2 linked regions of the Oryzias latipes genome follow. The protein of the gene in region 2 binds, or shares a complex with, the protein of the main gene of each other region. Links are inferred from orthologs where the notes say so. Each region holds a gene or a part of one and is shown on either strand. Other genes may lie near its edges. The genes, in order: naa15 and naa50.

What was found.
Region 1: the proteins of naa50 (region 2) and naa15 are in contact, whole or in part, in a cryo-EM structure (PDB 6PPL), measured with the Homo sapiens proteins. The link is inferred for Oryzias latipes from reciprocal best matches to the Homo sapiens genes NAA50 and NAA15. Residues at the interface, in NP_079422.1 of Homo sapiens: Arg5, His14, Asn15, Lys17, Gln18, Arg21, Leu22, Val25, Phe51, Asn52, Ile54, Ala55, Leu80, Pro82, Tyr83, Leu86; in NP_476516.1 of Homo sapiens: Pro369, Pro370, Thr371, Leu374, Ser403, Thr404, Pro405, Thr406, Leu407, Ile408, Phe411, Glu433, Ala436, Leu437, Asp438, Thr439, Ala440.

What each region holds. Positions count from the first base shown.
Region 1 is NC_019859.2:5,607,970-5,612,438, forward strand, and holds the start of naa15 (N-alpha-acetyltransferase 15, NatA auxiliary subunit), read left to right. Parts: upstream 1-1,581; 5' UTR 1,582-1,692; coding exon 1,693-1,746; intron 1,747-3,596; coding exon 3,597-3,681; intron 3,682-3,777; coding exon 3,778-3,882; intron 3,883-4,238; coding exon 4,239-4,396; intron 4,397-4,469. UniProt on the Homo sapiens protein: Auxillary subunit of N-terminal acetyltransferase complexes which display alpha (N-terminal) acetyltransferase (NAT) activity. The NAT activity may be important for vascular, hematopoietic and neuronal growth and development.
Region 2 is NC_019878.2:17,678,616-17,683,098, forward strand, and holds the start of naa50 (N-alpha-acetyltransferase 50), read right to left. Parts: upstream 2,909-4,483; 5' UTR 2,729-2,908; coding exon 2,721-2,728; intron 1,160-2,720; coding exon 1,023-1,159; intron 1-1,022. UniProt on the Homo sapiens protein: N-alpha-acetyltransferase that acetylates the N-terminus of proteins that retain their initiating methionine. Has a broad substrate specificity: able to acetylate the initiator methionine of most peptides, except for those with a proline in second position.

The sequences.
Region 1 (4,469 bases), on a different chromosome or scaffold from region 2:
GCCTAAAAACAGCATAATCACACTGAAAGGACCACTGGAAACACTTTTGAAAATAACTGAAAAGATGATCGGAATGGGACTTTAATTTACCAGGGATGGGTCTTTTTGCTACAAAGTTCTGTCTTGTCTTGCTTTGCTTTGTTTTTAAATTCAGGCAATGATTTATTGTTTATTAATTGACTCTGGTTTTGGATCAGAGGTTGTCTTCTGGGCAAAGCCTTACCAAAATCATCAATTTTTTTTATTTATTAACGAGATTTCTCTAAAGAAAATAGCATTTGATTGCTGAAAGCATGGTGTTTTGTAATCAGTCTGCAGCTGTTCTTACCACAGAAGCTGCTTTCTCGCTTTGGGAACAGCTTAGGTTTTAATTCCCTTAAATAACCCTGAAACTAAATCAATAACCTTGTTCCCATTTGGAGTTTGGGACCTATAAGCCACCCCAGACTGTTTTACTCCAGCCAAATTGAAGTACTACAAAAGATGTCTTATATTTGAAAGCATTTTCACCCCTTCACACTCGTACGTTCGCTTTTTCTAGTCTACAAGTGGGTGCATGAAAATGGAGTGGAGAGGGGAGCTTGTGGCCCTCCCAGCAGATTTTTTAAGTCACTAATAGGCTTTTTTTAAGATGTTTTCATCTGCCCCTGATTCACAATGATTTGAATAAAGAAATACTCATGAATGAAAAATTTGAACTTCATTTTTTTTTTGTCCTTGATCAACAGAAAACTGAACAGGTTAAAAACACCAAAAACAAACTTTTTTACGAAGTGGGTCTTTTTTGGTTAATAACGGGGTGTTCCTCAAAGGAGTCTTAAATACATATAGTACTATTGCACTAAAGTATAGTAACATGTTAATGACTTATGTAGCCTTAATTAGGAGAATATGAAACAGTATATGAATAAAATATTTTTTTTTAAACTGAAGGAGTACCGACTCAAATATATCCACAAATATCAGGTCAGGAAGACACATTGTGGTCTTGGTATTTTCTTTTTTTAATGTATACTAGCCTTTTATTATTATTATTATTATTATTGTTGTTATCTTAACAATTTTAGCACTTTTTCAAAATAGTAAAGTCTTGATTTTAATGACAGATGCACATCGTAGCTGTTTTAAATTAGTCGAGTTTTAATTTCTTGTTTTAATGACAAATGATTTGTGATTTTTATTATTTGCTTATTATTTAGGTTTGTGTTTTTTACTGACCGACTACTGTAATGCATTGCTTTTTTAGCTTCAAAATAACAAGCGGTAATTTTTAGTGTGGGTGTTTTTTTTTTGTTTTGTTTTTTAGTCAATGATGCACTGACCTTGGGAGTTTAAAATTAGTTGTACAGGAGTAAAATGATGCAGTATAAAAGTATGTATGTCGTGGTTATCAAGGTTTCGTACATAACTTAACGGTTAACGATAACGTACCGTTATAATCACAACAAAATTTATTTTAAAAAGGTTTTTAAGTGTTCAAATTAAAAGTAGTTTAATCTTTTTCATTGTTGTTATTTTATTTTGAAAGGGACTTCTCTCAAACGTGAGGCGGAAGTGGAAGAGGAGAGAAAACAGAGCAATCGAGCGGGGCGGGTGAGCCGGGGCCACCGTCGCTCAATTCGTCTGGACTGCTCGAGCTAACTTTAGCTACATGTGCTGAGGTCGAAGGGGAAGCCGATCCCGACTGCAACGATGCCCTCGGTTACTTTACCGCCCAAGGAGAACGCTCTCTTTAAGAGGATTCTGGTGAGTGCATGTTCAGGGAGGCGCCGAACAACAGCAGCCGAGTGGAAAGGTCCACCAACGGGGGCAGTCCGCGGAGCTCTCCGGTGGTTGGTTAGCATCGCTCTGTTAGCAACATGGCATCATTGAATGGGTTAGCCACCAAAGGCCTTGATGTGCGCTGTCACCGCAACGCCAAAATGGTTGATCGTGACCCTGTTGATGGTTTTCGGAAAGTGTTGTTGGTGCAATTAAAACACATTTTAGCTTAAATTAAAAACCTGCTGCACCATAAGGACTAGAATAGCCGAGAAACGTTTGACAGCCCCCCACGCTTGCCTTGGCTTGACACGCACCACAAACAGCAAGGTGTCGCGAACCGCCTTGGAAGCTAACTCGTTAGCTAAATAACAGTCGTGCGCGCTGGTAGAGTTAGCCTTCGCTTTTCCCGATTCTACAAGTTAGCTTGACGAAGCTTTTACCGTCATTTTAGCTTATTTTTGAGCGATTGCTGAGCGTGTCCACCCGGGTACTTTTTGTGCTGGAAGATTGTCAAGCTAACGCTTTCTTGTCAGTTTGCGTCACTTAATCGGCTAACGCCATCCAACCTGGTCATCTTGTTTTAGCGGACTTCAGGTGAATGAATGTCAGTCCGGGTGTGTTTCTACCGCGTGGCGTCGGTGAAATGACTTGAGTGGAGTTTTTATTTGCCTAAAACGCGCATAAACGGGGATAAAAGTTTGGGAGGGGGGAAAAAAAAGAGCACGCGGAAAAGAGCCGCGTGAGGGTGTCAGCAAATCTGTTGCTGCTTCAGGCCTGCCGTGCTTCTGCTCTGCCGATCCCCCTCTCCATGAGTCCCCCTGTGGCTTCCGGCAGTTTGCACCGGGGTTTTCAACCTGCACCTTTTTTATTTTGTGAGGATCATCTGAACTAATACAGGAGCTGATGGTTAATTAAAGTTTATTTGAGACTTGAAGTGGAACCTTTTTAATAGGTGAGCCTTCTGCACGGTCCTGTTCTGTTTCTAACATAGAAGCTGGAGACACGTGCATTTTATAGTGAATGTTTCACTCATTCACTCAGAAAAAGCATGCTTTTTACTGTATGTTAGCTTTATTTATATAATCTAAATGCATTTATGCAAACTGGCAGCTGCCCAGCCTCTGGATGGATGAGGGGCTGAGCAGGTGAGTTAGTTCCTCCGGCCCTGTGACTGCTGGAATCTGGGTCAGATAATCCGCATCCTTTCATTTGTATTTCAGCGGCAGAGCCCCTCTATTAACACTGAAGACAATGCCAAATCAAGCAGACAGCCAGCTGGCTGCCAGACTGTGCAGCTCTCTGGATGCTCCAGACACAGATTACCCTTGTGCGGCATGTCAGGATTTTATCAACATGTTATTTATAGGCTTTTTTTAAAGCCACAGAGACCTTTTTTTCTACTTATTTTATATTAGGAGATCATTTTTTATTCAACCTTTAATCCAGATTTTTTTGTAAGCAAAAATATAAGAGATTGTCATCACTTTAAAATGAATGTTTTAGTCAAGTAACATCCTCTTTTTGGCCTTGTGAAATGCAAACATCCCTCATTTGTTTGACTCATTCTGTAAAATTTAAAGTCATTCCTGACAAAAAGAGGAAACGACACCTTTAGCGATTATAGGTAAATGAATGTGAAGGATATCAATATTGATTACTTTTTTGGTGTGAAAACTCTTTTTTTTTTTATGAATTTAAAATTATTGGATTAATAAAATTCTTATCAACGAATTGAAGTATAACCTTTCTAAGCAGCGACCGTCACATTTCAACCTTTTCCCGCAGGATTTTATTTATTGCTAACTGTCCCCAAACTTTGCTTCTTTCGACAGCGATGTTACGAGCACAAACAGTACAGAAATGGGCTGAAGTTCTGCAAACAAATCCTCTCCAACCCCAAGTTTGCTGAGCATGGAGGTAGGCAACTAATGTGTGGAGGGATGGAGAAATATCCCCCCTTTTTGTGCTCATCCTTCAATGTCGTATCTTTTTTTTTTTTTTTTTTTGCTGCAGAGACGCTGGCAATGAAGGGCTTGACCCTGAATTGTCTTGGAAAGAAAGAAGAGGCGTACGAGTTGGTGAGAAGAGGTCTGCGTAACGACCTCCGGAGCCACGTCTGTATCCTTTCGTGTTTCGCAGCGGGAATCGTGTTCTGATGTTGTTGAGCAGGACGATTTAGCCCAAAAGAAAAAAGCAACAAGACCTCAAGAGGCCACACATAATGCATAAGAGCTCTTCTCACTGTGAAGCACCATCAGCACCTCCTCCCTGTGTTGCTCTCTGATGGAGGCTGCAGGAAATCTGTGCACATTTGCTGAATACTAGTGTCTCCTTAGCCAAAGCCCTGCCCTGAAGTCAACGCTGTGTTTTTCTTGGATTCAACTCTCGTGTCCCTTTTTTCTGCGACAGTTTTTGAGTCCCCTTAGTAGGTATGATTGAACCTGTGGACTGCATGCTCCTTAACCGTGACCCAGGCTGGCACGTGTACGGTCTGCTGCAGCGCTCGGACAAGAAATACGAAGAGGCCATCAAGTGTTATCGCAATGCTCTGAAGTGGGACAAGGACAACCTGCAGATCCTCAGAGACCTGTCCCTGCTGCAGATCCAGATGAGAGACCTGGAGGGCTACAGGGTGAGGAGCGACTGAGGGTCATGTGGTCTGTGGGTGGTTTCTGCGTGATCAAACTTCAAGGATGTGGTAAAGA
Region 2 (4,483 bases):
TCAGCCGATTCTATTGCGGAGAAAAAAGACTTGCGCCGATATCGGTACAAAACCGACTAAAGTATTGCGTCTCGGTGCAAAGCCGATATAAAAAGCTGCTTTTCTCCACATCAGAATCGGCCAATTCATGTCGATCAGGTAAACGGTCCAAGATTTAAGGTATGTCACAGAGCATGTTATTTAGGCGTCACCACAACAAATCTAGCGTTAAGAGTTAAATTATCAAAACAAGACATTAACTACTTTTAAATTTCTTCTATTTTTTTTCTGTATGCATCAGAATTTTCTTTAATAAGAAAAGCACTTTTTTAAAATTATCCAACTGTAATTTTTTGGGATTCTGTTCAGGAGTTGAACTGAGGTCTTAGAGAGATAAAAAGGATTTCTAGCTGGTTGTTGTATAGAAATATTTGCTAAACTGGATTGCTTTTTGCTTATTTATAGCTTAACTGCTGAGCTAACTTTGCCTCCAATCCTTTTTTAAATATTGTATTTTTATATTTCTAATTGTCAAAACTGAATTAGATGCATTCGTTTACCATTATCTTAATTTATAATTGTTTAAACAAAGGCAAAAGCAAAGAAAATATCAAAATATGATGTTAAAAATACCATGTCAAGTCCATTGACTATTTAAGAATCCAATAACTTGCTTGTACCCTTACAACAACAACAACATCTGTGCTTTAATTTCCAATGCAGAGCATAAATGTTATGAAGGATGTAAAACAGTGCCGATTTTTAAAGATGAATCCACATCCATCTTTGAAACAACCTGTAGGTTGTTTCAAATGCCCAATAATTAATTGGTTTTCCTTAATTTTTTTAATGATTTCATGTTGGCAAATTCAGTCATACATTTTGAAATTCTTATCTAAGGATAAGTGATAAATTCTTATCACTTATCCTATACTCTAGTTGCATCATGCTCCACATGATCCGTTTAAAATAAACTTCAGCAATGACTTGATGTTGTTTTAAGTTCTGAGTTGTGTTAAGTTACTACATGAGTCATCTCTCACCTAGCTTTGCAAGCTCTCCAACTTCCAGAACATCTTTGTAAAACTTGTCGTTGTAGCTGACAGGGAAGATGACTTGATTCAGCCGTTTCAACTGCTTAATGTTGTGAGGCGTAACGTCCCCCAACTCGATCCGGCTACTGGAACAAGAGCAAAACGGTCAAATCACAGACAAACAGGACAACTAAGCTAAACAAGCTACAAAATTAGATCAACTGAATAAGTTACGTAGTTTAAAAGTTATACTGTTTAGAATGCTGGACAAATAAAGAGGCTTTGGTAAAATAAGTACATACCGTATATTATTTTATGTACATTATAAAAATGCAATTTTTGACTCACCAAAGCCAAAAATGGCTTTTATTAAAGTAATTTATTTTATATTATACAAAGCCAAAAAAATATCAATAAAGAAATAATTCCAATTTAATTAATGAAGTTTCATCCCTATTCAGTTTAAAGGATAAAATATGTAATACTTTTTTTTCAACTTTTTTTACCACTTGATCAAAAGCCTGTATTTTAACAAAAAGTACAAAAGTTAAATGTTTCCTTACTACAACAAAAAATGGTAAAATACTGAAATTGAAGTTAAAAAAAAAGAACTGATTTGCGCAACAACTGAACACAAAGAAATCACTCTTCATTCAACATTTCCTCATTATTTCCTCTATTTTTTGGCATTCGATGCATTCATATTTTACATTATTTAAACAAAGGTAAATGCAAAAGCAAAGAAAATACTAAAATATCATGGAAAAAATACTAAGTCAAATAGAATATTTGTCATGAACGTCTACTGATTATTCACAGCTTTAAGAATTACAAAAATATTTCCAAAAGAAAATGTTTTAAAATAATATTTTCCATCTAAAAAGAGAAACCATGTTAAACTTTAAAAGCTTCAGCGTTACTAAGATTAAAATAAATTAATTTTATGTTCAAAACTTACATTAAAAGAAAAAATAGTCCTAATACAAAAGTCAACTTGACCTTTTGATGCGTTTCAAGAAGTATAAATAGGACAGCCAAGTGTCCACAAACAGCGGACAGACACGTGTGTTGCATTTCCAAGTACTATGTACAGTAACGTCTGAGTCTGAAATGCGTATTATTACTCAACTACGTATAAATTGAGAAGGTATCCAGACGCACATTTTCAAAAAACGCAGAGTGCTGCTGCATAACTGGCGGCGGTACTTTGACAGATCCAGTTGAGCCAAGCTCCTAAAGTTGCTGTTATGGCTGCTATGCTATCATTATGAACTTTTGACACAAAGCACAGACATGGGCTTATTTATCACGATAATGGTTGAATAATTAAAAGAAATTATACACAACGTAATTAAATTAAATGTATTCACAAGCACAACCAGAGATATCCTTGGTATATCTACTAAGGTTAGCTAAACTGAGTTTACTGACTCAGCTCAGTACTAGCAGCTAGCTGGTTAGCTTAGCTTTTAAGCCACAAATGAGCCGAAAGCGGCGAGGAGCAAAAGTAACAGTACTGACAGTGTTTTTCAAGTATAAATTTTTTTCTTCAATATATATAAACTTTTAGATAAATACGAAAATTAAGTAGCTTGGCACAATAACTAGCCCCGTCGTCCCCTCATCTTCTCCCCAACACAGTCAAGAAACTTTAGTCGTGCTAGTATTGCTACGCTACATTTTTGTGACCTAAAATACTACACTCACCCTTTCATTTTAAACAAATGGTGTCCCCTATTTTCGAGTAAGGTCTATCGTTCAGTCAGGTATAAGCTATGTCTATTAAAAGAGTTGGTATTCGGGATGCCTCCCGTTTTACTCTCCACATGTAGCTAGTTGCGGCAATTAAAGTTAGCTTAACCGCCACACTTCTACCACGATTGTGAGCGTCAACTCTGACCCCCGCATGCGCACAAACGCCATTATGCAGACTCAATAATTTTTCCTGAATTTTGCCTTTCAGGATTATAGTTGGTTTCTGTCATAAAAGATGTGTCAATGAGCCTGAGTAAATGAATAGTTGATTTGAGTTAAGTAATCAATAACGGTTTACGTAGACAAACTGGATTAAGCATCGTTAATGTTATTTCAACACGACTCACATGAGTAGATGGTCAATGATCTACGATAGTTGACTGACTACCTGTCGATACATGTTTCTTTAAACAAACGGCACGAAATATCGCATAAATAATTTAATTAATATGAAAACGTTTTATTTCAAGTTCAATTGCATACTTTTTCTTTTATCTCGATTTCTTTTTATTTTAAAAATATTTTTTTATCCTGTCTGTACATTGTGTCCCATTGTTTGTTTATTTTCTGTACATTGACTTATTGTTGATTGCCATTATTAATTTATTTTTTAAAGTTCTTATGTTGCAATAAAAAGAATGAAAAAAGTTACACTTTGTGGTTTCAGCCTAAACTGTATTTAAATTATTATTTTATCTTTTATTTTGTTTTTAATTATACTTATCTGTTTACCTTAAAAGGTTGTATTATACTGCTTTTCCGAACTTGCATTTGTTCTGGTATAATTCTATTAGTTCTATATTTTAGAAGCTAAATTAAGTCTTCTTTTAATGACAAAAAATATCCCAATGTTTTCAAAATCTCCATATTTTCTTTTTTTTAACTAAAACTTAATTAAGACTCATTTTTAAATTACCACGACGATTACACAAACAATATCAAGTGGGTTCGCAACATTTGTGGTGTGGTCGATCACTCTCTCTAACGATCTTTGCAGAAATCCCTGGGTAGACCCAAAATGGCGGCAGTTGCAAGGGCCCAGCAGTAAAACTGAAGCTGCGCGAGTGAATGAAGTCAGCTGACCTCAGCCTCCTGTCACGCACCGCACAATCTTGCGTTTTCTCGTTCGAGGAAAGACAGGGAACGGACACCTTACGACCAGACGGTAGGACCATTTATTATCCCACCGTGTTTAGTTGTTTTTAACGGCGATTTGCTCGCGAGCTGGAAATGAAAAGCGCTTACTTAGCAAGCTTTCTTGTGTTGCGGTAAAAATTATTGCAATTTCGGAACCAGGCCGAATGAACAGTCGTTTCCACGAAACAGACTTCCCTTCCCAGCCATCTTACGTTTTCTACATTGTGATGGATAAATGTTTAATTCCAGAAATGTAAATATACGCGCGATTTAGCAACAATAAATCAATATTAACTTAAGCTAGCTAGTTTTTCAATGTCAAAGAAATCTCTCTTAGCATTGACACTAGTATCGGTACAAATCCGTAGCTATCTTAATCGGACTGCCAACCTCACTCATCTGTCGTTACGTCTTCCTTAACGGTATTAAAGGTTTTGTCTTTTAAAAACAACATTCCTCATATATCTTATCTGGGCTCACGGGGTCTGCAGTTAGCATCAGCCCGTCAGGGGGGTTTGCTTGGTCATCTCACGAACATGCAACATTTTTTGTTGTTGCTTGTTTTTGTTCTCAGGGCA